Lepisosteus oculatus: one gene and its partners. Each later gene encodes a partner of the first gene's protein in a complex. Links are inferred from orthologs where the notes say so. Each region holds a gene or a part of one and is shown in the gene's direction. Other genes may lie near its edges.

Region 1 (7,380 bases):
AAGCGACGTGGAAGACAATCGCAGCCTTTATTTTCCTGCAGACCGCGTCTGGTGACTGTGCCACTGCAGAATGGTGACATGAGACCTTTTGGCAGTTGCCAGAAACCATAAGATGTCAGTAAGAGGATGGTGTAATACACACAGAGTGAATTTATTGTGGCATTAAAACTTCTCACCTCTTATCAAAAGGGACTTCTTCAGGCTACCTTGCTCATTGGCCCGAGTTGTGGTGATGGATATTTGAATTGTCTAGTGACATAATGGTTTCACTGATCTCACAGCACAAACCCCGACTTGGAAACTATCAGGCGTAGCAGCGCTCTGCTCAGCGTTTCAGTTGAAACTTGGCATGACATCACGAATCCCGACTTCACAGTTCTTCCGCTTGTACCTCTCATGCCCCCTCTTTACTGGGATTATGAAACCCAGTTGGTGTGAATTTCAATAGGATCGTGCGCTACCAGTTTGATCACAGAATCGAGAAGGTACCTTTTCAGACAGACGCGCACCATTAATATGACAATTCTTTCAATAAAGAGCAAAAAGCTCTGTGAATGGGAGGTGGCATTTCTTATAATCTCATACCGGATTCATCACCTATTTTGATGGTTAACAACACTGGATTGTTTTCCGCAAGGATGATATCCTATACATATTTTCCCTTATCACACACCCGCACAATAAACAGAGCAGGAATCAAGACAGTCTACCTGAAGCGCATCGGATTAATCGGGAAACTAAATCGCGTGGTTCGTTTGTTTTAAACACTTATTTGAAAAACCACTAACCACTAGCCATCTGAAAGCACTCAAGTGGAATATACGCACTGCCCATACCTGTATTATGAGTTAATATTTACGAACAAAGGTGTCAGCTTTGAAAACGAACTTCTTAGCTGTACAACAGCAGCAAACTGAACCTGCTAAAAGTGAAGAAGGCTTTAATCCATCAATTAGATTGGATTGTTTGCGCATTCTCTGCACAAATACAAACAGGATGCCACTGCCTCACGCTGTCAAGAAGGCTCTTACGCTTGCGGGTACTGTCGTTGTTTTTTAACTAGATGTTATTAACGTTACTGTGCTGTTATAATTATCACCATCACCACCCCATCTGAAACTGAAAATGATCTCCGCCGGCGTAAGTACACTATCAAGACGGAAAAGACCCGAGGTTTTCAAGAAACTAGCATGCACACGCGCAATCGCGTCCCATTGTGACCACTATCGCGCTGTATTCTCCGTGTTCATCCATTTCTAATAGCGCGCATTGGAAGCAGTCAAGGAACGGCTCCGCTACTCATTGATTTAAGTGCGTTTGTCTCTTTGGACGCGCTTCTTCGCCTCGAAAGAAGAGAGATCTGTGCGTGACGCGCTTCAACAGCCATAAGCATAAATACCAGAATCACATTTAAAAACAAAAGTTTTCACAGTTACCTGTGTGATGCGAATACAAGCGTCAGTCAAGAAAAAGCAGCTGGCTGACAGCACTGACCCTACAGACACAAAGTAACTGGAGATCGAGCACAGCAGGACTTTTCGTGGGCACGAGAAGTTTGCAAACATACCTGTAAAAGCTCTGCACGAAATACCACCGTGGTTGAAAATAGCATCTCTTTACGCGCACGTGTCTTAATGCACATTTAACCCAGGATTTGGAAGTAATTTCCATGCAAGAACAGCAGAGGCGATTTCTTTCATAAATACGACTGTTTCTTGCGCTCACATCACTGCACATGTACATGCAGTATTTATGGGCACACAATACAGCAACCTTTCCCCTGCCGCTCGCAGCTCCCATTTGATAAATGTTATTCGGGTGCTGGCCTATTACACAGTTGCACTTTCATTTATTATGGTGTTGTGCGGCTTTGAATATAAATCAAATCAACAGAAAAAAAAACATGAATTAAAATGTTCAATGTCTCTGTAAAACAAGAGCCAGTATGCATTCTGGAAAGATTGCTGGTTTCCGCTATTTGCACAGTTACTTTTAGAAATTTGTTGTCGCCTTCAAAGTAATTCCTCCGTTCTAACCTGTGGAGACCCTAGGGGAGTAATAATTTTGCAGTTTACGTGATATACATTCGAGAAAAGCCAAGTGATTTAAACCTGCATACAAAAATAGACAGGTTCCCAATTGGTTAGCCTCTTTTTTTTTTTTAAAGAGATGGAATAAGAATGCTGTAGGCCTCCGTCACAAGGTATAGCAGTTATTTTCTAAAATATCCTGCATGAATAAGTCATTCTTCATCGTTTTCGCAGTTTTAGGTGACTGAGGTTAGAGGTCAGCCTTAGGAACCACTTATATAGGGATCTGAAGTCACCAGGTACAGCCAATCCCGTGATTTCCCTGTGAGAATCCGAAGAATTTAGCTTCCTGAATTCAATGACTCCGCCCCTTGATGACTCACCCGTTCTTCCAACCGCTACTTTGCTACACAGTTCTTTAGCAAGTGGTGGTGATGGTTGGATTCGCACAGCGGTGCACACAGTCAGTTCCAGCACTCCTTTGCTGCGGAGAAAGCCCACTCGGCTACGTTGCGCTTCATTCTGCCTCTGACGTTTGCCAGGATCCTCACTCCCAACTTTGTGTTGTGCTGGATGACAGTGTTCCTCACATTCCACAGTCCTAGTATTGTGAGGGACACTCACTGCCACGGCACACTGGTAGCTTAGCACTGTTCCTACTCCCAGGAGTCGTACAGTGTTTTCCATTCTTCCATGCACCACTTTGGTGAAGGGGCAAATCCAGAACATGTGCTCCGTTGTCTCCTGATAAAACACGTGTCCTAGGGGCAGTGTGTGTTCCTGGTCATCAAGTGTCTGCCAAGGTCCTCTCTGGTCACCAGCCTCGGCTGCACAGCCTTCCATTTGAGGTCCTCCAGCTTGTTTTCCAGTTCTTTGAGTTGAGTCCACTCCCAGGTCTCATTTGGGGTTAGCAATTGTGAACCAGTTCCCCCCTCTGCTCCTTGTATAGGGCTCAGTGGTGCAGAGCTCTGGCCATGTCATGGTCTCGTATCTTTGGTTCCTCTTGACAGCGTGGGTGTGGATTCCTGGTTGCTTTTCTGCTTTTGGCCCCGTGTTTGACCACAGGAGCAGGTGCCTCATCAGGAGGGAGAACCACAGCCTGACTAAGTACTAGTAGTTGTGGCTGATCAGGTCCCATAGTGTCACGATCGTGACCCCCTCCTCTTAAGGACACTCCAGCCCTTCCTTGTTCAGAACTCATCCCCTGCACCTGCCTCCGGTTCCTGCCCCTCGTCCTATAAAAGCCGGGCGCTCACTGTCTTCCGGGCTCTGCACTGGTTTCTGTACCAGGCGAGTCTGGGACCTGGAAGTGCCTGGTCCCGTCAAGCTTTTAAGTTCCTGTTCCTGCCGGTTCCTGTTTTTATTCTGTTTGTCTTGGATGGACCGTCCGGTTTTGGATTTTCGCCTTCTCTTGGATTCCCTCTTGGACGTCTTTCTGGATTGTTTGCCTCGGCCACACCTTCCCCAAACACCAGCGTTCCATGAACACGCCCCCTGTTTTCATTCCCGACTCCCGCAAGCTTTTTCCCCATGTTTTCCTCACTCTACCCCGGATCATGTCGTCTGCATAGGGTCCTAAAAGAACGCTTCCGTTACACATAGTACCAAAAAGAGGCTGCAGGCACACCATGGCAGGGTAACTAAAGCCACAGGATGTCAGATTTCGGCATCACCTTCCAAGTGAGGGTCAGTGACCATGTTTTCCACAGACACAGCTTTGATTTCACCCTGGCAATCCACTCTGTCCATTCACATGGTTATCTAATACGGGTTGTTCTGTGTGTATTAGAGGATGCAATGCAGTCCATTCCAGCATAGGGAGCGAATTACCCGTTTTCAAAATCTATATTTAAAGATCATGCAGAGTGACAACATTGACACTTCACTTTATTTTCCTGAGGTTGTGATTAAAAGTAGGCTATGACCATTTGTTATTTAATCAACGCTATCGGATAATTGTCTTTCTATCAAAGAAAACAAATTACTCTCATTCAGAAGACTTAAAAGGCAAACGCGTCTTGCAAAGCAAAATATATAAAAAAATCTATTCAATCTAGCATTTGTGACAGCACGTGGATTTCTACGTATCTGACAGGATTCTTTGTCTCTTTGTAAATGTAGTTAACCGATCTAGAAAGGGGCATATTTTCGTTAGTAAATAGCAGTTACTGTTTGGAAGATTTAATATTAACACATGTTCCAGATGGACGAACAAGGAAAAGCTATGCAGTGTCTTGATAATAAGGATGCCCAGCTAGTGTAGCTGTTTTTTTTTTCCAAATAGACATCCGAAGGGCGGAACCTAGCGCTAATAGAAAACGAGTCACACGGTCATTTGACGCAGCGCGCAATTCCTGTGCGTCGCTCTAGTGACGCAGAGCGGCGCCTTCACTGTGTCGGGGTGAATTCAGAGCTGGCGATGCTTAAATTTGATTTTTCAGTTATTTTAATAGTTTAATCTGTGAATGGCGCCAAAACAGGACCCTAAGCCTAAATTTCAAGAAGGTAAGGAACGATTTAATCAGTAAAATTTTGGAGTGGAAGCAGGCCTGCGTTTCGCCCTGTGTGTGACTGAGGGGTAGGGCGGCGATTTGCAGTCACTCCACGGTGTTTGTGTAGATAGCAGAACTGAAAAACGCGCTTAAGTAAAGATTAAAACCTTGTTCAAAAAGGAATAAAACTACGAAGGGCCAGGGCGGATTTTTGTTTTTAGCAATTTAGCTAGCGAAATGTTCACTTTCCCAGATTTATTGGGTGCATTTTTCTAAAGGCCTAACATCTATGAGCTAGCTAGTCTTTTTCAAGTAGAGTGATCTATTGTCTTCGTTGAAGAAAAAATAGGCTATAAAATATCTTCTTTTTGTTTGTGTCTGTAATTAGTAATGTAAGGAGAACAATGAGTTTTTCAGCTAAAACTTAAAAGATTTAATTTTGGACTTTGAGTCTTGATTGTCACCGTGTGTTTGAGCGTATTCTTCGTCGAACCCTGCTTGAGAACCATATTTCTTGTCCCTTAAAACAGTCGAATATAATCGATGCTTCTCGTCGTATCTGAAATAAGTTCCGACCTTTACATTAATATCTGTTAGTAATGCTAATTTATGAGCAAATCAGCTTTTCATATATACTTTTCTTAACTTAGGTTTGATAACGTTGCTCTGATAATTCGTCCTTCTTTGGCTAAGGTAATTATTTTAATTTTTTTCTTGATATTTCAGCAAACAATGTTTTACATTTTTTTGCCATGAAGTAAAAAGTTGTAATGTGGAAAAGTCGCGCTTTTTCTTCACATAACGTTTGTATACAGAAATATCACATTGTGCCAGCACGGTGTAACTAAATATAGTTATGTAGCGACTACTTACCTCTTCGAAGCTGTAGCGAGAGAAAGAGAGATGCAGCTTCTTTTGTTGATCTTAACCTGCATGCGATATTCTGACAATTTAAAGGTTCACACCAAGGTATTTCTTCAGAAGCCTCAGTGAGTCGTAGGCCTTCCTGACATGTACCACAGCAAGAGTTTACCAATGGGCACTTAAATCCTTGATTAAAAACAGTACAATAACCCAGATTTGCATTCAAGTCTTGTGGCTTGCCAAAACGTGCCACTTGCGTAGCCCAAAAATCTAGGGTCGGCTCTTTCTTTCTGTTCGATTTGAAACTAAGTGACCTAATACTTTTAAAAGGGGTCCCAGTAAGCGGTTAACCCTCCAGTTTTTTGCGTCTGTGTGAAGAGATCTAGTGTTCTGTGATAGTCTTGCGAACTAAAGTTAACATCAATCAACTTGCAACTAGGAAGCAACAACTGTCTGCTAGATATTAGCAGTGCTTTGTAAACCTTGGTGAGTCTCTGGTACTTAATCACTCTTATAAACATGAAGATACACTAAGGTGTATCTTGTTTTCTTAGCAGTACATTATTTAAACTTGGGAACCATAATAATTAATAATAATAATTGCTTACACTTATATAGCGCTTTTCTGGACACTCCACTCAAAGCGCTTTAGAGGTAATGGGGACTCCCCTCCACCACCACCAATGTGCAGCCCCACCTGGATGATGCGACGGCAGCCATAGAGCACTAGTACACTCAGTAAGGCTTATCCGCATAAGGCTTGCATCAGTTTCCCTATCCTAGTCCAAATGGAAAACTCTCTTGTGGTTTGTGCTCTGAGTTCTTAATCACAGAACAGTTAATTTATTTTCTGTCTGGGGGCCATTTTTAAATTTGCTTTCAGATTTTAAACGGTCAAATGGAATTTGTAATTGGTGTCAGACCTGTAGTAATGTCTGAAACTCCCTAATTTTCTTGTTTCCTGGAATGTAACCAATCAGATCTCTAGAAAAAGGGGGAAAAAAGCTCTTAGTGGGAGAGTTTAAGTCAGTGTCATATTTGCTTGTCAGTTCATTATAAATGACTTATTAGGTGTTCAGAGAAAAACAAGTGTAAGCAATGCAGGAGAGGCTCTTTGTGCTGACGTTATTGAAAACAGTATGCTGTATTTAAAGTAGTGTATGTTTTAAACTCATACCGAAGGCAGAAACAAATTAACGAAGTCGTAAGCAATCAAATCAACTAAAGGTAAGAGCATAAGTACAATTACAAATGACACCAGGTCAATCGAACCATCTAGCCTGAATAGAAACATGGTGGGAACTGCTGGCTAAATGCAATGTGAGTAACCCAAGAAAGAAATTAAATCCAACTAGAAATACTGTGTAAAAATAAGAAGGCTGCATGATGTTTTAAGACTTAGGTATATTTGTATTGGGTACATTTACTTGAAATATAGTTCTGAATATAGTGTGTGCGTAGCCCATATGGTTAATATTTGTCTTAAGAAATGTACAGGCAGTGTGTCTGTATGTTAGCAGCATAATGATTAGGGTTTTTGTCTCCTGAGTGGAGGGTTATGAGTTCAAATCCAGGGTGGGACTGGTTTTGTACTCTTGAGCAGGTACTTCACTGATAATGCTCCACTAAATGTCCAGCTGTATAGATAAGTCGCCAGGTTTCCACTGGAAGTGAGAATGTTGTGCATGTAATTAGCTGGTGAACTAAAGGAACGAATTATGGTGAAAGGAATGTCTGAGAAGTGCCTGCATGTAGAGGTTTCAATTATGCAGTCTTTCCATCTTGAAGCAGATTACAGTTCACTGTAAGCTATATTTAAATGTGTATGGATGTTTTACAAGTATGTAGTACTGCATCTATACATATATGGAAATTAGACTTTTCTAAACAGACACTCGGATTTAAAAGAACACCAGCCTCATTGATGTCGGCAAGTTTGGTTTCAGTTTGCCGTATATGAAGACGGTATAGAAATTAGACAAGTCAGGGGCCAC
Region 2 (7,942 bases), on another chromosome or scaffold:
TTCACATTACATATTTCAAAATATATGCATTCTAAAATGCTTGCAGACAAAAACAGACCTAAATTCCTCAGATTACCTATACATTCAACATCACATGGATGAGTGAAGCAAAACAAAGAACAAAATATACTACAATGTCCTTAAAATGAATGCAAAGTTTACATATATTACAAATTCTTTAATTTCTTTTTACAATCAAGATTTTCATTTTCACAAGAGCCATGAGGCTGCTTTATCACATACAGAAGAACTAATTAATTAGCAATGAGCTTGTCAGGAGCATTTTTCTGTCCAACTGATATAAATACTAGCTCCTCCTAAAAAAAAAGTTAATTTTCCCGAGTGAATAACAATGGAGTTTCATGCATCACAGGCCACTGTTTCATAAGAGAGCTGTATGCAGCTACACCATATGTTACATTAGATCGCACACCTCAAAACAATTAAAATTGTGTATACACTGTACAGTAGATATCTGTCACGCCTTCTGGCTGATCCTACTCTGTCATGTCCCTAGTTTCCTGTGCTTTGCTGTCCTTCCGGTATCTCTCTCTCTCTGGGGCTATATATTTCCGGGTCACTCATTCACCTTCGCTCAGCATTGACATTCAGATGTCCTGAGACCCACCTACAGCACCAGGTCACCCCACGTCCACTGCCTGAGGGCATAGGTTTCTATACGACTCCTGAACTGCTAATCCCCTGTTCCGCCGCTAAGCATAAGGGTCTTTTTCCGCTCTCCTGCCTCTCCACAGTTCGTTCCTTACGACATCCGTGACAATATCAGCTTATAGAAATACACATTTGAAGAAGGCCACTCAAATTGAGTGTCATGTTTTTGTGCCCTTGATAAAATAAAGAAAACATTTTAATCACCAGCAAGAAGGGGGTGGTATGCCAATTTACCTTTATATACTCTCCTGTAGTGATTAGCCAGTTTAATGAGGTATTTATGTAGCATCTTTTATCCCAAAGAATCAGAGTGCTTTACACACAGGAGGGAAATCTAATTATCCACCAATGGGTGATGATGGCAGTCATTATGGATCAGCAGAGAAAGTGGAGAATAATAATAAATCCTTACACTTCTATACAGTTTTTCTGGACACTCCACTCAAACAACTTTACAGGTAATGGGGACTCCTCTCCACCACCACCAATGTGCAGCATCCACCTGGATGATGCGACGGCAGCCGTAGTGCTCCAGTACACTCACCACACACCAGCTATTAGTGGGGAGGAGAGCAGAATGATGAAGCCAGTTCATAAATGAGAATTATAAGGAGGCCATGATTGGTAAAGGCCAGGGGGAAATTTAATGATAAATGTCTTGGGGAGAAATAGAAAAAGTTGTAAAAGAACAATTTAACTTTCTAAAACTTTTTTTTTAATCTGTAACAAAAATAATATGGAGAAGTGCCCTTAAGGCTGAGACTGTTATTTTTTAATGCATTAAATGCTTAAAAATGTGGTAATTTTTCTACATGAGCAAAGAAGCACCTGAGAACAGATGCCTGTTTTTCCCTGTCACCATCTGAAACTCAGAGCTTTTGGCAATCATGTAGGATACTTTCAGAAGGTCTTCTCGAACTGACCTTCTTCATGAAAAAAAATCTTAATTTTTTATTAAGGTACCTATTCTTTTGGAATAGGAACAGGCATGAATAATGTTAACACAATTCTGTATTTTTTGTCAGTTTTATTAATTTAATTTCCTTTTTAGTGTAACAGAAGAAGTCATGTCAAAAACAGTTTCCCAACTCTACATGCTTATGAAACACTTGAATGGTGGTTTAAAAAGTTACATCTTGGGCCAAGTACAAAAACAGAGTAAGAGTTAGCACAGGGACCTGAAAGTATGTAACTCGGGGTTTTCCTCCGGACAAAAGTAAAATGATCAGGTGTGGCTGAGGGGTCCAGAAAAACAAAGTTCACACAGAATGAAGTTGATTTCGCTGCTTAAGTATTCTTCCGCGAAAACATGTTTCTTATTTTTTCCTTGTTAGGAGACTGTGTTAGAAGGGCTGTAGCATGTATATTGGCGGGGAGGCTTGAAGTCATAATATAACCCTTGATATAATATCTATAGTATCTGTAACTAATAAAATTGTACAACATTGGGTTGTGGGGGTTCCACGCTTTGCCACCAGAGGGCAGAAGACCGCATGAAATTTCTAGTTAAAAGCACAAAATACTAAATCCTGAAAGACTATTTTTACAGCCTTTAGTTTTTAAACTGACACATTCGGTTCAGAGAAATAATTGTTAAGAGAAAGAAATTAAGTTGTGCTACACTATGTATTGTTTTAGCATTACTGTCACAAACCAAAATATTTTACAGGAATGTTTCGGTTGTTTCGGTTTTCTCGGATATGAGCAAATTATCGTGTTTCTTCTTTCTACTGTTCATTTAGAAATTAACCTTTACTTCTTCCTTTGAGCTTAACGCACACTGACTGTTCCCCCTTCGAACATATGCATGATAACAATACAGATATTCCCCCTAGTTTTCCCTTCTAGCGGCGGCAGTATAGGAAGAGATGCAGGAGAAGGTAACTGCACCTCAGTGATTTAATTTCGCCTTCTGACCGACGAAGGCGTGCTAATCACTGAGAGGAGGTTTAGGAAGCAGGGCATGGAGAGGAGTAACGGCTGCCGCTGCTTATTTTGGAGTAAGGCGAAAGAGGGAGAGAGGGAGAGAGGGGGGCGTTTTTGTAAAGGCAGGGAGAGGGGAAAGGAGGACTCAAGGTCAGGGTTCAGTGGCTCCTAGACACAGCGATAGCAGGGTGTTACACTGCCCCCTACCCAGCTCCCTCGCACCTGGTAAAGTGTGTGGGGGCGGGCTGGGTGCTGGGATATTGCAGCTGTGGACCGGGCCCAGACGATTGGGAAAACGGTAGAAGGCGAGGCGTCTCCTCCTGCGATAGGGCTTTGGGCTGAAGGCAACGGTGCACCTCTCTTGGCGGCTGGAAAGGTTGTTCCTCAAGGCCGCTTGCCACAGCTCTGCGGATACCCCTCGGCCCAGATGGATAGCGTTCTCTGGGCCCGCTGTCATCTCAGGGTCGTCTGGGCTGCAGGCAGTGGGCCGCTGTAGGCTGACACGACTGCTTTTAAAGAAGCGCAGCGCATCGTAAGGCTCTGCTTCCTGTCTTTTCACAGCACTGTACTCCTGGAGCTCGTCCGCCCACCGGGCAGCTTGTCCCTCTGGGTCACTGAAGGACGTAAACCGGCGCAGCGCAGGTTGCTCAGTGCGGATGGTGAACGGGAGACCACACAGGTGGTGCCTGAAGGGCTCCACCACGTCAGTAACACGATAGTGGCGTTTTGCTTTGGTATGGCTCCGTTCACTCCAAATAAATGCTCATGATTTTCTTCAAACGCAATTCATGAACCAAACATTGTGTTATACGAAGGCTGATGAAGGACTATGCCAGTGAAACAAATCATGTTCGTTAAATCCGTTGTTATAAAACGGATTAAATGAAACACATTTGAGGAAGACGAGTACAGATGTCTGTACTATCAAACAATCGACAGGACATTGGTTAAATATAATAGTATATTTTTGGAAATAGTTATTCGAAGGTAATACTAAATGTTTTTTTCCCCCAAAATAATGATACTGATTTAGTTGTTAACGTGGAAGTTCTTTCTCTAAAGTGCCATGTTACCTTATCAATATAACACCTGGACAAATTGCAAAAGTTTTTCAAACATGGAACTTGAAAGCATGCATTCAAAGACTTCAGCGTGGTAAGTATCTTTAATTTTGTATATTTAAAGAGCCCAATTCACATTAAACTCTTGGGAGCACTTACAAATGATAGGAGGCTATACGATATATCTAGTCTATTTGGTAGTTAGGTGTGAACTAAGCTCTGCCTTTTCTTAAAAGAAGTCAGGGTATCAGCTTCAACATGACTGTGTAGCTACAACCCTTTGGGTAAAGAAGCACCCACTCGTCTTGGTTTTAAACATATTTCCATGTAGTGTATCCACTTGTGTCCTCTAGTTTGTGTTTCACTGTTAATTCTGAAGTTCACTGCTTTGACTTTGCCAGTGCCTTTGAGGCTTTTGGATACTTCAATCAGGTTGCCTTATAGTCTATTGTTCAAGATTAAAAAAAAAAGTTAATCTCACTTAGCCGAGGTCTATTTGAAGTAAAATAAGTACAAAAATTAGAAAGAAGTCTCTACCCATTACCCACAGCCACATTTGGAAGCTGTGCTGGTCAGTGCAGAATGTGTACCGGTATGTGTTGAAATTGCTGTGTCACATCATACTGTCCACAAACATGTATACATTAATGACAGTAGTAAAGTCTGGATAAATGTCTGTTTTGCTGTTTAAATATATTTGCTATTTTCCTATTTACTCTCATTCCAAAATATTTAAATCCTGATTATTTCGAGGGGAAGCTGTGAGTGGTAACTGTAATCTCAGCTTCTTTTCTTATCTACCAGTTAAATGACCATCCATTTTCAATAGCCACTTATTCCAGCAAACATATTTGAGGTGAGCTGAAACCTAGCCCAGCCACCAATGGGCTTAAGACATGCAAACATACACATACTAGCATGTCTTTGGAGAGGGGTATCATCCAAACTCCACATAGAAATATACCCTTAAAGTACATCTGTTTATGATTGTAGGTAGATATCTGTTCTAAATGATTAAGGACCACTGCTGTATATAATAAATGTGCGTTTGTGTTTAATAACAAATATGTGTTAAACCAATCAAATATCATTAACATACAAAATTTGACTTGCCCTTTATCTGAGTGGTTCGGTTTCTGAAGCTCTGGCCTGTCATAAAACAACTGAGGTTAGACTACATCCCCCATGATGCTTTGGCATTAAACCATCAGTTTGCGTCATTTTCTCACACGCCCAATCAGATGTGCAGTCATGGGATGCGTCACATAGAATGACCTCCGGCGGGGAGACGTGATTTTTTTTTTTCCTTGAGCTGCTGGTGAAGACGGCGCCATATTGAAAGGCTAAAATTCTTTTACTAAAAGCCTAAAACATACGTTTGAGCCAAAATGCTGTACTTAGAGGACTACCTGGAAAGTGAGTATGGTATTTTGTAAGCGAATTTCGTGTTGGTTAAGGATCATTTAACGTGCGGGATGTGCAGGTGTTGTGTCGTGTAGCTCCCAGACGGCTAGCTAATTTTTTTTTATTCTTCTCTTTGGCAGTGATCGAGCAGCTTCCCATGGATCTGCGCGACAGGTTTACGGAAATGAGAGAAATGGACCTCCAAGTTCAGAGTACGCATTCGCTACAACGTGACCAAGTCAAATACTTGCCTAGCTAATTCATGGCCGTTTTCTCATTTCGGAGTGCTTATTTTTGGTATAGATGGGGCTGTATATTGATCTTTGATCAGATTAGATACAAGACTACGAATATTTACATTTTCCTGAAGATTTCACAGCTTTATTAGCTTAAAATGCACTATTCTGTCTACATCAATCTGCATTGTTTACTTCATTTATCCAGGCAGTGCTCCGTTTATCGGTCACTCATGATGGTAACACTTTCTATTTTGTAATCCGCACACTGTGTTTAAGCATCTTAAAGTGTATTTCAGTGCTGTTGTCCAACAATAGTGCTTCAGACCTGCTTAGAAGATCGTCGTAGCAGAAGCAGATGAAATCTTGCCAAGGAGTTGGAGGAGGAACGTTTCAGCCTGAACAGAATAGAATGAAGGGGCAGAGGGCACATATCTGGGTTGTTACAGGAAACCCTTCACCAGTGCCGTTACCAAGACTTATATAGGCTTTTATTTGTTTCATTGTCCGGGTGATTCCAAATGCCGTTGTTAGTTTTGGCTTGGTAACATGATGGGGAAGTGAAAGACGAGATGAATTTCAAGAGCCGTGTGTGCGGCCTACCGTGAGAAATGGGATGGACCGTTATCGGAAGTCTTTACCGTTTTACATTTTGGTGATGAGAGAGGAGTGAACGAGTGAAGTCCCTAATGCAGCCACACGTGTGACATTAAATATGTCTTAACAGAATATTGTATTGCAAAGGTATCTTGGATTATATGTAAATTACAGTGGAGCTACTTTCTATTAACTATTCTTATTCCTCCTAATATCTAAAATATATATAAAAAATCATTGCCTCAGAATTGTTGCAAATTTGTCACTCACTCCTTGTGTATATGTACTGTATGCCTTTACAGTTTATATGTCTGCCATCTCCCCAAAATAATCCCTTCAACTGTAGACATCCCTGTGCAGATGAACCGTATGAAATCAACCAGCTTTTTAAAGTATTGCCTAAAGAGATTTTCAGACACAGAAGAGTCCTTAGCAGATTGGCTTTATTGTGCAGACAGACTTACAGTATGCAGTCTACAAGGCATTTACAATGTAATTTTTTTTATTTTTTCAGAGATAAGAGATTACTGTTATTAGAAGTGGAGTAAACGCTCAATCATTGCACCAAGCTAGAGAGCAGGCATTTTGTGTTGAGTTTGAAATTTAATTTGTAAAACCATTATAGCCATTTAAAGAAACCTGTACTTGCATTGTGTTCATAGATATATTTTTGCCTTAAATGGAAATTGCTGCTCTTTTGATATGTACTTTTATACACTGACCATTTTCAGTACTCTGGACTCTTGAGTGTGAGTCATGTTTTCTAATGTTTACAGACATTTCAGTTATGGAATTAAAATTCAAATGCATGTTGTGAACAGTATTTAGCTTTAAAGTAAATAAGACCTACAAAATAAGGTCTAGCAAATCTGTTACATATGTTGTTGGAAAGGCTCTCAACCTGTCTTTTTATCCTCCTAATCTGAGGGATTCATTTGTTTTTTGTTGTAGATGCCATGGATCAGCTGGAACAGAGGGTGAATGAATTTTTTATCAATGCAAAGAAGAACAAGCCAGAATGGAGGGAGGAACAAATGGAAGCAATAAAAAAAGTGAGATTAATCGTACACTGCTTTTTTTGTAACTGCATTCAGCATTTCAAGCATTTGATTTGAACTCTTAAGTGTTTTCAAGTTTTTCAATTCTAGATAAATAAAATGTTTTGGCTTCCATTTTTTGCTTTTATATGATCATCAATTTAGTCATTTGCTCCTTTTGCCCAGACAGCCCAGGAGTCTTAAGAACAAACTATTCCATGCTTTGCCAAATTATTTTTAATCCAGCCGAAATTTTCTAACCTGTCCGTTATCAGGATCAGGATCAGGATCTTTTATAAGATCAGTCTTAAAACAATAATATGGACATTTTACATGTTTTTTTATTCAGAATTAATCCTAACTACTGTGTCTACATGATGCATTGTGTACTCTCATCACTGACACATCGTTTCCCAGGTTGACCCTTCTGGTATAAGGCTGAACACAGAGCATAGGTCACTTCCAGCACCACTTTCTTCTACTGCTCTGAAAAACATATTTTGAGCTCTTTACACCAGATTATGCATTGCTGTGTATTGGCCTTGGTTACTAGCTGTTTCCAAATGGCAACATTGTGAATCTCTCGCCACAGTTTTTGTTTAGACTGGGTCACAGAGGTGTAGATTCAGTTCTGTGGTCATTTTTGAGGCCATCATATTGTAGTGGTTAGCAAGTGTCTTTGACTTGCAGCCTCTGTTCCTCTTTCCTGATGCTGTTTTCTCTTGTTTGGTGTATGCTGCCATGCTTTTCCAAACTATTCCCCTTGACATACTAAGTAGTGTAGCTGTTTCTATGCTCCTACAGTTTGGGTACCAACTACTTGACCTCTTTCATTGCTGTTAGATCTCTAAAGTTGCTTTAGTACCTCACATATTAGAAGTGTTGATTTTAAAATGTCCTAACAGCAGAAATATATTGGTAACTAGTACTGAAATTAATATGAAGCTTTTGTAGAATCATTTTTAATTGTGATTTAGTTGCTTAAAAATAGGTTACAGCCATAGTGGGG
Region 3 (7,711 bases), on another chromosome or scaffold:
CAATGTCTGCTGCTGAATCTGTGAGGAGTTTGTATGTTCTCACAAGTTTGTATAGGTTTCCTCCCAAAGTCCAAAGTCATGCTGGTACATTAGCTGGCTTCTCTAAAGATTGGCCCAGGTATGAGTGTGTGGATGTTTGTGTCTGTGTGTGCCCTGCGATTATCTGGTGACCCATCCAGGGTGTATCCCGCCTTGCACCCAATGCTTTCCAGGAATGGTTCCAGGCCACCATGACCCTATTGGATAGAGATGACAATGATGCATTGTTTCAATTAAGACCTCATTTAAGTAAGGAGCTCCACTGAAATGAAAACCAGTAAGTGTATTAGTCCCCAGTACCAAGACTGGGAACCCCTGTTCCAGTTCACACTTAACTGTTCTCTTCATATAAAATATCAATGTACAACATTCTTTTAAGTCAGGGATGTGAAATTATGATCCTGGACAGGTGTTTAGGGCTCTTTAAAGTAGCAACACTTGAAAATCTAGAATAGGCTTTTACATAGATCAGATTTAGTCAACAATGATTTAATTGGGGTCATTTAGAGCTGAAATCAAATGAAAACATGTGAACCCACACACCATACATCCTTAGTTTAAGCTCCAATAATTCATTTGGTTACTCTTGTCTGGACTAATTTAAGAGCGGCAATACTACTTTCATGACATGACCAAAATTGTACACAATATTCTAAATGTAGTTGTGCTAGTGCATTGTACACTACAGTACCTCCCTTTTTTACTTTTAACACTTTTACTATATGATTTCCTTTCTGAAAGCTTTGCATGGTATGTGTTAGCACTACACCAAAATGCTTCTGTGCAACAGGAAGACACTGATGTCTGTGAATTTTTTTTCTCTCATTTTCTTGATTTGATTCCATTCAAACTTTTATTCATTCCAAAGAGGCAATGTAAGCAGCAGGCAGTGCAAATACAACACATTCCAAATAAAACTGCTAAAGAACATATTTCTGTTATAATTTGTTTCTTTACCGTGAGTTTATGTTTAACCCCTAAACAGTTGTAATTTTAATGAGCACTTTTTACATTTCCTTTTTTTAGCTGTAATACGAATCTGAGCAGTAGTCAGTTTACTTCAAATTCAAACAGGTAAATTACAGTGTTGTTAAAGCATATACAGGACAGTCAATACAACATCTACAGATGTTACAAAAAATTAGAAAGCCTTTCTCCCTATTCAAAAAATCCACCAAGCATGAAAGGCCTTTTTTAACCAAGGTATTCTTCACTCAGGAAATCCAAATTCCTTAATACAGAATAGCAAGCTCTCTTTAGCAAGGTTCAAATACTTAGCTTCAATCGAGTCTTTTCAGATTATCTCAAATAAAGGAACTGTTTGACAGGAGCTCAGATGGCTGAGACTTTAAGTCCTCTCCTCCTGTCTTCTCCCTTGTGGTCTTTTCTTTTCTGTTATTCTTTTCACTGTCTTGATCTGATCTTATTTGGTGTCTTTCTGGACTGTCGATTGACAATCGAGAATTTAATTAACTAAAACCAGAAGATTCTTTTGATCAGTGTTTCTCACACCCAGAACAACCAAGTAAAAATCCCTTAGTTTGAAGCTCTAGTAAATTGGAATATTGACACTAGTTATTACCCATTGTGTCAAGATTCTTAGAGAGACCTCCATTGTAATCTACCACAGCCAGTAGCAATTCAAATACTGTACATCATAGGAGATTTACATACAACATATAACACTTAGAACATTACAGGGAAACAGGCTCACTGCTCCTCAGGCTGTGACAGGAGATCACCTACTGTGCTACGAGCTCAGTTGAGTTCCCTCATCCCTCTCCAAATAGGATTGGGAGCTGTTCTGATTCAGGCAGGTGTGAGAATTCTGAGATTTATTTTGGGGAACAATGTTTGTCTAATCCCAGAATATTTCTCCCAGTCCAGTAGGATGTGCATGTCTGCCTCTGTTTCTCCCTGCTGGCAGTGGAAGCACAGCCTGTCCTCTCTGGGCAGCCAGGTCTGCCTGTCACCCAGTTTCTATGGCCAGATTGTGGTCATTGAGCCTGTACTTTGTCAGGGTCTTTTTATCTTTGCTGTTTCTAACCCTGTTCAAAAATTCGGCTAGTGAGTTTTGTCTGTTTGGTAATATAACACATCATTGGCCTCTTCACACTGAGTATGCAATGACATATTGTCTACTGTACATGTTCACTAATTATTGTGATTAATGTACGCTCATTGTGGAACAAACTGGATGAACTGCAACTCAATTATCAACAAGGGTAAAGGAATCTGTTGTAGCTTTTACAGAGATGTGGCTAAAAAACCAAGTCTCTAACCAGGACTTGTTTATTGATGGTTTTGAATCTCTAATCCACCTTGATATAAATAAAGACAGTACCAGTGAGGAGAGAAGGGAATGGTGTTTGTCTGTACATTAATTAGAAGTGGTGTAAAACTGCAGTAGTGCAAGAGGAGCTCTGCGTATCAGATCAAGAGGTTTTGGTTGTTGCTCTTCACCCAAACTACTTACCTTGTGAATTCCTGCAACATTTTTGTGTTAGTGTATATCCATCCTTGCGTCAATGCAGAAAAGGCAGCTGAATATATTGTCAGTGTTAATAATAAATTCTGTCTCTGCCGATGCCCCTAATTTTATTTTAAGTAATTTTATTCATTAATTTATTCATTTTATTCACTTACTTGCTAATTGAAAAGCTTCATCCAGCTCTTTAGGTACATACTATTTTATATAAACACAAATTTTGTGGCGACCTAAACCAACAGATACTGGTCCTCAAAGACCAGTATTGGACACATTTGCTATATTCTTATCAAAGCTTTTCTAACCTTTTTGTCCTCTGGCCTCAACAAAGGTGTTTGATTCTGACACCATATAATTTACCAGCAGTCCCTCATTAATCAAACTTCTAGCATGGCTTTACACGTGTTATGTATGAGATGTATAGTCCCATAACACCTGGAAGGTGATACAAAAGGCTTGATTTTATTCCCCAATTTAACAATCCAGGTATGTGGCCACTGTACTTCAGACAAACCTACTCTACTTGCCATCATTGTCCTCAAATCTATCCACCCATGTGCCTTTTTTTCCAGGAAGTTTTCTTTGGGTGAGCAAAATTATAACCTTGGCGACAAGAAAATTTGGCAGTTAAGCCTGTCCTTGATGAATAGAGACACTTGATGGATGGGCAACTCAACATTTCATGGTTTTACTTTGCCTACACAGAAGGAGCCAAACGACTTAACAGACACAGGTGGTTTATCTAGTGTGCCATCATGCTACAGAGCCAAGATAATCCCAACTAGACAACTTCACCCTCTGTCTGTTCCTATCTGTCCTTGGTCCCTGATCTCTGCCACTTTTATCACAGCTTTCAGTGCTAGTTTTCTTTTTGCTTTCCAATTGGCTACAAACCCTGTCTGATTCCTGACTATTACTTGGATTGCACTTTACCTATAACTACCTGCGTGATTGTTGCTTGCTCTGCCTTGCACCTGAGTTCACTGCACTGCCGTGTTATACTAAGAGTCACTGGTAACTGTCACACACATTACCATTTTTAAATGTGTTCCAAGGCTTTTTTAACATTTGAAAAATATTTGATTTCTTCAAACCTTTTTTTTCTAAATACTGTTTCAACAAACTATAAAACCAGTCTGGTCAGGCACTCACATTTGAAGAAATATTTATTTAGACACCTTTATCTTGTCTGTCTAACCAGTCTATTTATCTTATCTAGTATGTGAAGTGTGAAGTGGCAGGAAATAACAAAAATCAAAGGATATCACAAAAATGTCAAAACTCACTGCAATTTCAAGTGGCTTGTAATTTATCTAACTCTGCATATTAACCTTCATTTCTGTCTCAGACCATCAATATCTGTGTGTATGTACTCTTTGTAAGCATGTCAGTGTAAATGTATACTAAATGTATACATCTCCCATGTATCAGTGCCACTGTGTATCATCTCCTCTTTAGGTTTCTCATGTCACTGAACTGAGTGGCGATTAGAACATTCACAAGCTGTAAAATAATCCACACAGACAAATTTCATACCATGTACCATGTACTAATACTTGTAGTATATGAGTGTACTACCAGTGCAGAGAACCTTTGAGAACAGCCATATTCGCACATAACCAAGTACATCCATCTATGTCTGTAGATCTGAGTATCATTGGCATACAAATGATGATTTAGATGACGCAATCTTTATAGCTTACCAAGTAGTAATATATAGATGAGAGTTACTCAGTCCAGAACACACAAAGAACAAACCAGAACAGAACAGTACACAAAAAGGCATGTGTGAAAGTACCAGAACAATAAACTTAGATTGTTGGCTTTATAATTCATGTTAATCTCATCAACTCAAGAGCAAATTGCTGAAACTTAAAGCAAAAATGAGTTTTGACTTTGCTGTCCCAATATGTTTTAAAGGCTGTTTATAAGTGAAGGTGTGTGCTGTACGTAACTAAAAGTGGATAAAATTGGGTTACAAAAAATATGGAATTTATGCAAGCAATTACTCCTCTTTGCTTATACCGTCCAGGGAGCGGGGGATCGTAATATTTTTTTTACAGTACATATGACGCCAACGTCTCAGCTGACAAGTTCCAGAGGAAAGTGGCAAAACTTCACACATGCGCAGAAAGCGCCGAGCGCGGGAATGCTTTTGCTCTGCGCAGGCGCGCTGGGTCTTTTTTTCTGTTTCCGGACGCCAAGTCTGCACCCCGCCGCCGAATTTAAAGAGACAGAATTATTTTTTTATTATCCCCTTTTAGCTTTGGGGCGATTCTCTGAGTATTCGTTGTCTTACTCTTCGATGTTTCAGTCGATTTTAAACGTGAGTTGTATATCTGTCAGTGTGTACTAACAATGGCGTTTTAAATAGCTGGGACCCTCCGCCCCCCTCCTTCTCCTCACTCGCAGGCCAAGATATTTTCTGAGGAATTAGGGGACAATGGCGAAAATTCGAGCTCATAACAACATGCCGCAAATCAAACACATCCAGGACAAGGCCTATGTAGTGCAGAAACAAGTCCAGCAACAACACTTTCAGAAACTGAAGGTAAGAAAAACAGAAAATGTCTTCTTGCTGTTTGTTCAGCGATGTGGTCAGCCTGCGAGATGCATGATTCGGGTGAGCAAACGCAGCTGAGCGAGATCTTTCCCAGAAGATAACTAATATAACTAGCAATAGTGAGATGTGTAGTGGATTATTAAAAACTAGTCAAAAATCAAACGGAGCCGTTTTTTTAACTGTATTTTCGTTTCTTCTACAATTCTTTTTACGGTACTTTCTTTGTTAAATGGATCCTACAGAGCTGTGTGTCTTTTCCCCCATATATTCATTCCTACGGGCTGACGAGACAAAAGGTGCTTCTGTTTAAATGAAATGCAATGGAGATCTTATACACAGTGCAGATTTGGTTATAGTAACTGATGCAGATTGCTCACTAGGCTTTGCTGTCGACCTGGAGAGGGTTTGTGAGCACACTTCAAAACGGTCACGTTTCTTCGCCACTGTGCATCACTTTATGTACATTGGTTGTAATTGTTTTTTTTTAATCAATTGCACTGAAGTTTAAAACTTTGGAAGGAAAATTATGTAAAGGAAATGCTCGGGTTGAAAAATTTGCCAAGCTTTTCTGTAACTGTGTTTTTGTCACATTTTGTTCTACTGTATTGTCTCGATAACTCTGGGATACAAACCATTAGGGTAATAACACTCACTTCTGCTAAGAGGTATCTTCTTCAAGTCTTTTTCAGGTTTATACTGCGATTTTCTTTTCTGATCTTTGTTGTAATGGAGAAAATATAATCCCACAGTAATAGCCAGTATAGCATGCTCTCTCTTTTTTAATTCTTAAATAAAAAGAAAAAGGTTACTAATACGCTCTAGAGACAATTACCGCATTGACGTGTATTTTAAAGGAAGGATGTTCAGGGATATCTAGGCATTAAAAAACAATTTAGAATTGAGAATGACCTGTGTTGAAGCAATGCTGTTATTTCAAATCAGATCCCGATGGTTTTCATTTGCTCTTGCATTTATCGTCAGACGTTCAGAGAACTGACTGGTCTGGATTATAGGATCTCTTGCACTGACAAAAAAGGGCCAACGTGGGCTAGGGTTTTAGCCCAGATGGAAAAAAAAAAAACTTTTCACTTTGTATTTTACAATTGCATATTATTCGCCTTATGTTATTTTCCAGTTTGCCCATAAAAGGTATATCTTTGATCAGATAAAAAGGTGATGTGTTAAATGCCATCAACTTGAGCAGTTTCACGTGAATTCCATCAATATAGGTCATTCTCAATTCTAATGGTCTAGTGGCTATCCTATCGCATAGTATTGGAGACTGGTAAAAAAAAAAAAAGAGTGTTTTTTGACCCAGTGCTGTGCCAGGCTTGAAGGATCAATAAGCAGAATTGCTAGTCATGATGAGAAGAGCAACTGTGCAGCCAGTGAGCCTACAGCTTCTGCAACAATGGGACATGGCCACCAAATCTGTTATTTTCACAAACATTTTCCTGCACTTCCAACATTTTTTAATTGAGTTATGAAGTGATTCGCTCCATCATTATGTTTTATTGCAAGGACTGATGACATTGGTGTACTGTGTGCAGGGGGATATGTTTCTATTCAGATTTTAGTAGGAGCTGATAGGAAGATGAGCACTTAATTTTGTTCTTAAAAACATTTCTGAAGGATTTGACATAAGGTTAAATCATGTTGTAAATGTATAATTAAAATAATCTTTTTATCTTTTTGTAAAATTAGATTAGTGTAAAATAAACTATTTTGACAAATGATTAAATGTGAACTTAAACATTTCTGTATTGCCTGAATGCAGGATGTTTACAATATTTAGTTTTTTGCTGCTTCTGTCAGCATTTTCTATGCTTATTGTTAAAAGGGTAATGGTTAAATTGTTATTACCTTGTGTATAATAATTATTGTGTTAGTTTCCACATTTCTGTATCTCATGACATATTTTAAAACAGTTTTTCTAAATTGTTCATTTAAAAACAAATCTAAATATTTGTTTTGAAAACTACTGTCATCAGCATTAACTGGAAGTGGTGTCAGAAAGTTTAAGTAATTTAACCTAATGGGTCTTTTGGGGGGAAAAAAATGAAAGTTGAAATGAGATTTTGCTTTCTAATTTTAGGTTGAAGATGCCTTATCATATCTGGACCAAGTTAAAATTCGGTTTGGTAATGATCCTGGGATATACAACAAATTTCTGGATATAATGAAAGAATTCAAATCACAAAGGTAAGCAAGTAATGTTTTTTGATTCCATCATTGCTATAGCAGTATATGATCTTTAGATCAATTTGATCAAAATTCTCTTTATTGGTCAGGCCCCAGGTAGGAGGCACTGTAGACTTGGCTGCTTAGTTAATTGAATATTTCCGCTGTTTAATTTGGCAAAAAAACCCATCATGCTCAGGAAAAGCAAGTGCCAGTTAGTTCACCTGAGCTTGTGTACTTTGTACATTTTCCCTTATTGTGTGGAAGATAAAAATATTCAAAGCTATTATAAGAAAAATCGTCTGGCAATCTGTGGCATGATGGGTCACCTGTTTGATTCATAGACTGGTTAAAAGAGTTATATTAAAGCATTCACATAACGTTTGACGTGAAGTTCTTGAATGAGCAGTAGACAAAGTGGTTTAAGCACCTTGCTCTGA
Region 4 (7,505 bases), on another chromosome or scaffold:
TGTGCGAGAGAGCACGCCCAGGAGCAAGAGAGAGGGAGAGTTCACACGAGAGCAAGAGAGCGTGATGCGGGTGTGCGAGAGAGTGAGAGTTCACACTAGAGCAAGAGAGCGTGATGTGAGTGTGCGAGAGAGGGAGAGTTCACACGAGAGCAGGAGAGCTTGCACACGCTGCGAGGGGTTTGATATCCCAGCACGGCTCCGCCTGCGCTGCCCCGTCGCCTGTCTCACCGGCGTGGGGGCGTCCGCTCCAGGGGAGATGACTGACAGCTCGGCGAGGCGATGACCCCCTCTCTGCCCGCCGCCGGTCTCGGCCGCCGTCGACTCGAACACCGCAGCCTCCTCCTCGTCCGACAGCAGGCCGCGCGGTGAGGCCCCATACGTCGCCATGACAACCACTGCGAAAGCAGCAGACAGCCTCAGGTTAGAGGGGTGACACCCCACCATCTCCCAGACCCACTACACCTGCAGCCACTGCCCACTGAAGGGACGCACACCCACACCCACTCACACCCCCCTCGGTCCCTGAGCCCCCTACACCTGCAGCCACTGCCCACTGAACCGACACACACCCACACCCACTCACACCCCCCTCGGTCCCTGAGCCCCCTACACCTGCAGCCACTGCCCACTGAACGGACACACACTGGTCCATATACCCACAAACAGCAGGGAGACTGAAGCTTTTTTCAAATAAATGAAAATCAGCAGTATAACAACAGAGCAGACAGCCAGTGATGATTTTACAATAAAGCTAATCACTCCAGGCTTTACAGTGCTGTCAGTCACACTCCCAGTGCACAGCAGTACAAGTCTCACGCTAACAAGTTTCGCTCCAACAAATAGGAATAATAGCAAAGCATCAGTCCAGAAAAATAGCTCTAAACCACTGGCTCAAACTCCGAGCTTCTATTGTTTACTGGGTCCTGTTTGTGTTCTAGCAGTAGCACATAAGGAGGCGAGAGACCCGATTCTCCGTAGGCAATTAGCAGAACTCTTCCAAATAGTCGCTCAGGCACAGAAAGGGCAAAAAACGGAGGCAAGTCAATCTGATCTACGCTTCAGATCAATGTTAACACCTACTACAACTACACCAGACAATCGTCTCTGCGAGACTCTCAGAAAAGGTGGGTCTTGTTCAGCCGGGCAGAGCTACAACAGTAACAGACAGCATCCAGCATGGGATACATGGGGTCTCGGTAGAGGCATAATCCCACTGCTGGCAGCAGGTATTCATGGATGTGTTGGGATTGGGAACTGGTCAATGGGCAGGACACTCAGGATGGCGGATGTAATCAGTGGAGCACCACAGGGATCTGTACCGAGAACCCTGCTCTTCAGAACTCACAAGTATTTGCCCAGTCCCGAATGCTGTCTAAATCTTAAGAATCCTCCGAGTTCTCGAGTTTAATTCCTTGTTGTTACAGTCCGTCTATCAGCTTTTCAAAACCTTAGGAAAACTCCCGTGTCCAATTTAGGTTAATTAGGTTAATGAATGGACTACAGAGGGCGCAAGGCCCTGCAGGGGCCAAGTTAGAGGCTTGGGACAGTGTCACAGGGGTCAGGTGCAGGTAGGTGGTTAGAGAAGTCTGGAAGGAGCCAGCAGCCTGCAGGGCACAGGGCTGCCTCACTGAACACAGACCAGCTTCAGAGCTGCCTCCCTCTCTCTCAGCAGTGGAGGTAAATTCCACATGGGGCCAGTCCACTAAATTCCACAGGTAACTGCTAATCCCAGCGAGAGAGCTGGACAAGGGGGAAAAACAGAAACTCCAAGGGGACAAGCTCGTCCCACAAGGCTCTCCCACACCCCCTCTACACAAAGAGAGCCGTAGAACAAGCTGCCCAGCCAGTCAGGACAGGAGGCACGTCTGTACACAAAGAGTGGTGGGAGTGTGGTACAAGCTGTCCCGCTACGTTGTGGAAGCCGATACCCTGTTTTTTTTTTTTTACAAGAAACAGCTGATCACTGATCCCGGGATCAATTAGCTACTATCGATCAAAGCGGTCAGACGGGCCCTCCTCTCGCTTGTTAGCCCTGGTTCAGATCAAGTCTTAGAGCGCGGTGTGGAGTGAAAAACCGCATCGGACCCGGGACTCTCCGGGTCCAGGAATTAACAGCAGTGTTGGTATTGCGGTGCTGCAGTTTGTTCCTAATTTGCAAGCCTGTGCGTGAAGCTCACTTTCACGAGGATAAACAAGTCAGGCGAGCACGCCCCCCCACCCACCCCCGGAGAAAGGAAACCCGCACAGATACAGGGATAGTCTGTGGAGAACCCGGCCGTTTCAAACCAGTTCCGCGGGTGGACAACCCACTCAGACCGCGCACGACCCTCTCTCTGCGGACCAGCAGGCTGGGGCAATTTCAATGCCGAGAAGCGAAGAACATGCACACGGGGGGTCAGGCGCACGCGTCCTTTTAAAAAGGGTTTTTGCCCGCCTCGCAGTCTGATACTCTCGATTTTATTCTCTAACCTCTTCAATACAGGGCTTTCTTTTGTCAGTTCACAAAAGTCATGCAATAAAAACTGTAAGAACACAATATACCATCAAATTTAGAAATAAGAGGAACACTGGGGTGTTTATAGCAACTGTATCTTACCAGGTCGGAAGTCTGTTTACGGTAGAAAGAGCGCACGCAGTCGGGGGGTCCACAGATTAATTTACACGACCACACTGTCCGCAGTGATTTTAAGGTTTCGCTCTCTTGGTCTTTTTTTTTATTTACTGAAGTTTATTGGCGTGACCGACGAATTACTGTTGTAATACTTCATACAGTAACAGCAATCGGGTGTAGGACATTTATGTCTTCGAGCGGTGTGTCCTCAATCTGAAAATTACCCACATTCACTATCGAGAGAAAACACGCAACCTCATTTAGTTCAAAGACAAAACAAAACACTAACCTTCTTTAAATACAAACGCAGGTTTTTCCGTAAAGTTCTGACGTCTTCTGACTGAGTGTCCTCTCTAGAAGTTTAAATAGAGGCACATTAAAAGTCCTATAAACCCTTTCCTCTGTCGACTAAACTTAAATTAACAACCGCGCTGAACTAAGAACTCTGGGACCAGCGTTCAGCCCCTCAGCAAACCGATTCAAACGTCGCGCCCCGGAGGGACAGCCAATCACCTTCCGAGTGCCGCCCGCAGCCGCCCAATGGCAGCGCTCGGAATGCGAGGGCCGCCGCTCCAGCCAATCGGACGGCACGCTGAACCCTCGCCCAAGGCGCAGGCGGAGAAAGGGCGCGGCGGCGTGCCTCTGTGAAGGAGAAATAGAGTGCGACCAATGGAAACTGGCTCCATGTTGGCTCAAAAAAAGAAGCACCGTGGCGAGCTGAGCCAACATGGCGATCTACCGCAGCTGGTGGGTGCTCGTTTAAACCTTTAGTTGTTCCTTTGCATCGCTACAGAGTAGCCTCTAAGAGCTACGTATTCATGTTCACATCGGCTTTATTCCCACATGAGTAGATATTGTACTTATCTACTTGAATAAACCTGCTGTGTGAATTTAGTCGAGAGAAGCCAGCGTTTCTCGCCCCCTTACAGATATGTTATTCTTCCTGTGCTAATAGATTATCTAAACAGCATGCCATCTTTAGACAGCCGTGCAAATTCGTTTAGTGTGTGGGCAAGCACCTCTTTCCCTCGGGGACTGAACAATAAATGTGAACAGTATTCACTTCGGCGGTACTAAAGAAGCATTGATGTGAACCCACATCGATTTGATAAACATCTGGACCGCCTGTCCCACACAAACGGCGCATTGTTGGCAGCTGAGGAGCCGCAGGGCACAGCGGGTCACGTGGGTCGGCCGGTCGGGAGTTTGCACTTCCCAGCATCGCCGTCAGGAGTCGCTGTTGTCGCCCCCCCTCTGGGCCGCGTCTTGCCTTGATGGCGCTGATCTGCGGGCGAAGTCTGTCCCAGCCCGTTGTGTTAGGAAAGGCGCCTTTGATTGTGGGATACTAGGGGTTGCAAATAGACGCCTGTTTAAAAGTGTAAACTCAGATTAACATAGGCAGAGGTATCCAAATATAGGACACAACTTAGAAGTATGTAGTATTATAGAAACAAATATAGGTAGTAATGTAAAATATATAATCGTGTAGACACGCGAACACGGATGATACTGTAGAAAGTTGAATGCAGTTGATTTTGCAGAATTACAGTATATAACACCCCAGAAATGCAAATATAGGTGATACTGCAGTGCAGAAAAAGTCTTTGGAGGATGCGGGCATCGATCCCGCTACCTCTCGCATGCTAAGCGAGCGCTCTACCATTTGAGCTAATCCCCCTTTCTTATTGGGCCGGCCCTGAAGTCTGTATATAAACTAATGTAAACAGTACAGTTTACAGAAACAAAGACTTTAGAAAGTACAATATTCCCACCTTATTTGTATTTCTATAGATAAAGTGTATTTTCCATGAGCGATATATAAATTGGTCATACTGTACATGTCCCTCCAAAGCCAAAGACTTCATTTCCCAGGCAGCATCGGGGCTAGAAAAGCACTTTGACCTGGAAGTGCAAGTGCTCAGTGGCGGTGTGGGAGGGGCAAGGAGTCAAGATGGCGGGCGGCATAGGGAGTAGGTGTTGTTTATATTTTAATTGTGTCTTTGTACCTTTATCAGTGTTTTGGAGTTGTTTCTGTGTTTTTGTGTGTCTGTTCTGCGCGATGAACGGATGTTTCTCCTTACTCCTTATGTAAGGTTACCGTGACTTTCCCCAGAAATAAGTGGTATTCTGGTAACGGACGGTTTTTAACGTAACATTAGGAGTAACGTAACGCAGACACAAAGACTGTAGTTCAGGATTTGGCCCGGGGTGTACGAGAGCGTCTCAGTTTTCGGTCTGTGTGTCATACAGAGTCTGAACCTGAAAGAAAGTTAAGAGAAACCACGCTGGTAGCTGTACTAACGCTTGATAGGGGCTGGCTGTTACTTCCTACGACACCGCTAGGCGTGCGCGTATCTCTTGTTTATTACTGAACACTTCCCACGTTTTTAGTACCAGTTAGTACTAACTATCCATGATCGGTAGCCGGGTAAATATCCTTTAGAAATATTCTCGCCATGGCCGGTTGAGTATCTTTTAGACCAGTGGTCCCCAGTCCTGTAGAGAATATTCCTGGAGCCCGAACGCTTGCTGCCTTTTATTCCAGCCAGACCTCAGGTACACGATCCAACTCTTAACTGACTGAACCAGGTTTGACTCGGGCTGTTTGTTCTCAGCAGGCGGCATGGTGGCACAGTTGTTATCATTTCCTCAGCGTCAGTGACTCCTTTTGTGATTAAAGAGCCAGGTTTCAGTGTCTGGTACAGTGAGAGGGAGACTGTCATTTTGCTCACACATACAGTTTATCTGTTTTAATATGACCTTTCTCTCTCTCCCTCCTCTCCTATAATTTCTCTGCCCTGTCCCCTGTCTCCTCCTCTCCTGTCTTCTCTCTTCTCTGCCCCCTGTCCTTTCCCTCCTCTCCTGTCTCCTCTCTGCTCTGTCCCCTGTCCGCTCCCTCCTCTCCTGTTTACTCTCTGCCCTGTCCCCTGTCCTCTCCCTCCTCTCCTGTCTTCTCTCTGCCCTGTCCCCTGTCCTCTCCCTCCTCTCCTGTCTTCTCTCTGCCCTGTGCTCTCCCTCCTCTCCTGTCTTCTCTCTGCCCTGTGCTCTCCCTCCTCTCCTGTCTTCTCTCTGCCCTGTCCCCTGTCCTCTCCCTCCTCTCCTGTGTCCTCTCTGCCCTGTCCCCTGTCCTCTCCCTCCTCTCCTGTGTCCTCTCTGCTCTGTCCCCTGTCCTCTCCCTCCTCTCCTATCTTCTCTCTGCCCTGTCCCCTGTCCTCTCCTATCTTCTCTCTGCCCTGTCCCCTGTCTTCTCCCCGACTCTCTCCAGAGCACAAGCTGATGTCGCTGGGCCCCACAGAGCCCTGGTCTGTGAGGGAGAAGCTGTGTTTGGCCTCGTCTGTGATGAGGAGTGGAGACCAGAACTGGTAAGAGGGGCTCTTTCTTCCTGTCTCTCTGTCTGGCGCTCATGGCTGCCAGACAGTTTCCCTCCAGAACTGTCCCCTCTTGCTCCTCTCCCTTCTCTCTCCTTTGCCTGTGTCCCCGTCTCTCTCCTCTCATTCTCTCAATTTCCAGCTGTCCCCCCTCTCCTCTCCGTCCGTCTCCATGTCTCTCCTCATCCTCTCTCTCTCCCAGCCTATCAGATTCAAAGAGCTTCACTGGCGTGACCGATCAGCCGCAGTGTTCACAAGGCAGGTACAGTTAACTCCACAGTAACAGATACATCTCCCTCTGCCAGGGTGTCGGTCAGCAGAGCCATCAAGCCCTTTGCAGAAGCAGGCCGCCCTCCGGACTGGTTCTCTCAGAAGGTAGGAGACACAGTGATGCTCGTTCTCCTGCAGTGTTTCCTCGACCTCTTCAGCGCCGTGACGGTAGTGTGTTTTTCCTCCTTCCTGTCTGTCTCTCTCAGCACTGTGCCTCCCAGTACTCGGAGCTGCTGGAGACCACAGAGACGCCCAAGTGAGTGCAGCTCCCCATCCCTTGTTCTTGTGTTGTGTTGTGTCTCGGGTGTGAGCAGGTGGGGGTGGGGGAGAGAGAGTGCGGTGTTGTGTTGTCTGGTGTGTGAGAAGGGTGGGGTGAGGGAGAGAGAGTGTGTTGTTGTGTTGTGTCTCGGGTGTGAGCAGGGTGGGGTGAGGGAGAGAGAGTGCCTTGTTGTTGTGTTGTGTCTCGGGTGTGAGCAGGGTGGGGTGAGGGAGAGAGAGTGCGGTGTTGTGTTGTGTCTCGGGGGAGGTGGTGGGGAGACAGTGCAGGAGTGTTGTGTAATGTTGTGTCTCTCTCAGGCGGAAGAGGGGAGAGAAGGGTGAGGTGGTGGAGACTGTGGAGGACGTGATTGTGCGCAGACTGACAGCAGAGAGGATAGATGAGCTCAAGAGGCTGATCAAAGACACTCAGGAACTGCACAGGTACTATTTTGTCCTGTTACTCTATCCTGTGTCCTACAGTATTGTCCTGGTAATCTGAACTATTGTGTAATGTTACTCTACACTGTTTTCTACAGTATTGTCCTGGTAGCCTGAACTGTTGTGTAATATTACTCTACACTGTTTTCTACAGTATTGTCCTGGTAGCCTGTGCTGTTGTGTACTGTTACTCTAACCTGTGTCCCTGTATGCTGTGCTGTGTTGTGACCTGATGGTCCTCACTGTAGTCCACTCTTACTGCGTCTCTCCCTGCAGGAAGCTGAAGAAGGAGGCAGAACTAATCCAGGCTGGACATCTGGACAACAAGTTGGAGGAGCTGTGGGGGGAGATCGTCCTGTGAGTCTGTCCATCTCCCAGTGTCTGTGAAAGGCCGCCTGTCCTTCTGTGTACTTGCCTGGGTCTCGTTGCCTGTGCGTCTGGCTCAGGAGATGTCTGTGATTTGATTGTGGTTGTGGCGCGGTCGGCAGGCGGTGGCGGCGTCACTGATGCGGTTACTGTTCCCGCCTCCAGGAAGAAGAAACAGGACGAGGAAGAGGCGG

The links.
Region 2: morf4l1 (region 1) and ing3 share a complex: the UniProt entries of both Homo sapiens proteins name them as parts of the nuA4 histone acetyltransferase complex. The link is inferred for Lepisosteus oculatus from reciprocal best matches to the Homo sapiens genes MORF4L1 and ING3.
Region 3: the proteins of morf4l1 (region 1) and sin3b are in contact, whole or in part, in a cryo-EM structure (PDB 8BPA), measured with the Homo sapiens proteins. The link is inferred for Lepisosteus oculatus from reciprocal best matches to the Homo sapiens genes MORF4L1 and SIN3B. Residues at the interface, in NP_996670.1 of Homo sapiens: Gln217, Gln219, Tyr222, Ser348, Tyr350, Glu351, Val352, Ala353, Pro354, Pro355, Tyr357, His358; in NP_056075.1 of Homo sapiens: Cys394, Arg396, Arg402, Ala403, Pro405, Lys406, Thr407, Tyr408, Ser462, Phe463, Pro464.
Region 4: morf4l1 (region 1) and bromodomain-containing protein 8 share a complex: the UniProt entries of both Homo sapiens proteins name them as parts of the nuA4 histone acetyltransferase complex. The link is inferred for Lepisosteus oculatus from reciprocal best matches to the Homo sapiens genes MORF4L1 and BRD8.

What each region holds. Positions count from the first base shown.
Region 1 is NC_090700.1:48,886,027-48,893,406, reverse strand, and holds the start of morf4l1 (mortality factor 4-like protein 1), read left to right. Parts: upstream 1-4,372; 5' UTR 4,373-4,495; coding exon 4,496-4,535; intron 4,536-7,380. UniProt on the Homo sapiens protein: Component of the NuA4 histone acetyltransferase (HAT) complex which is involved in transcriptional activation of select genes principally by acetylation of nucleosomal histones H4 and H2A.
Region 2 is NC_090702.1:40,169,830-40,177,771, reverse strand, and holds the start of ing3 (inhibitor of growth protein 3), read left to right. Parts: upstream 1-4,934; 5' UTR 4,935-5,047; coding exon 5,048-5,075; intron 5,076-5,203; coding exon 5,204-5,275; intron 5,276-6,847; coding exon 6,848-6,948; intron 6,949-7,942. UniProt on the Homo sapiens protein: Component of the NuA4 histone acetyltransferase (HAT) complex which is involved in transcriptional activation of select genes principally by acetylation of nucleosomal histones H4 and H2A.
Region 3 is NC_090724.1:101,064-108,774, forward strand, and holds the start of sin3b (paired amphipathic helix protein Sin3b), read left to right. Parts: upstream 1-4,693; 5' UTR 4,694-4,970; coding exon 4,971-5,078; intron 5,079-5,116; exon of another isoform or gene 5,117-5,141; coding exon of another isoform or gene 5,142-5,150; intron 5,151-7,185; coding exon 7,186-7,292; intron 7,293-7,711.
Region 4 is NC_090706.1:29,598,279-29,605,783, forward strand, and holds the start of bromodomain-containing protein 8, read left to right. Parts: upstream 1-4,490; 5' UTR 4,491-4,562; coding exon 4,563-4,581; intron 4,582-5,876; coding exon 5,877-5,973; intron 5,974-6,284; coding exon 6,285-6,354; intron 6,355-6,455; coding exon 6,456-6,505; intron 6,506-6,825; coding exon 6,826-6,948; intron 6,949-7,221; coding exon 7,222-7,302; intron 7,303-7,476; coding exon 7,477-7,505. Other genes in the region: kinesin-like protein KIF20A, read right to left, coding at 229-387. UniProt on the Homo sapiens protein: May act as a coactivator during transcriptional activation by hormone-activated nuclear receptors (NR). Isoform 2 stimulates transcriptional activation by AR/DHTR, ESR1/NR3A1, RXRA/NR2B1 and THRB/ERBA2.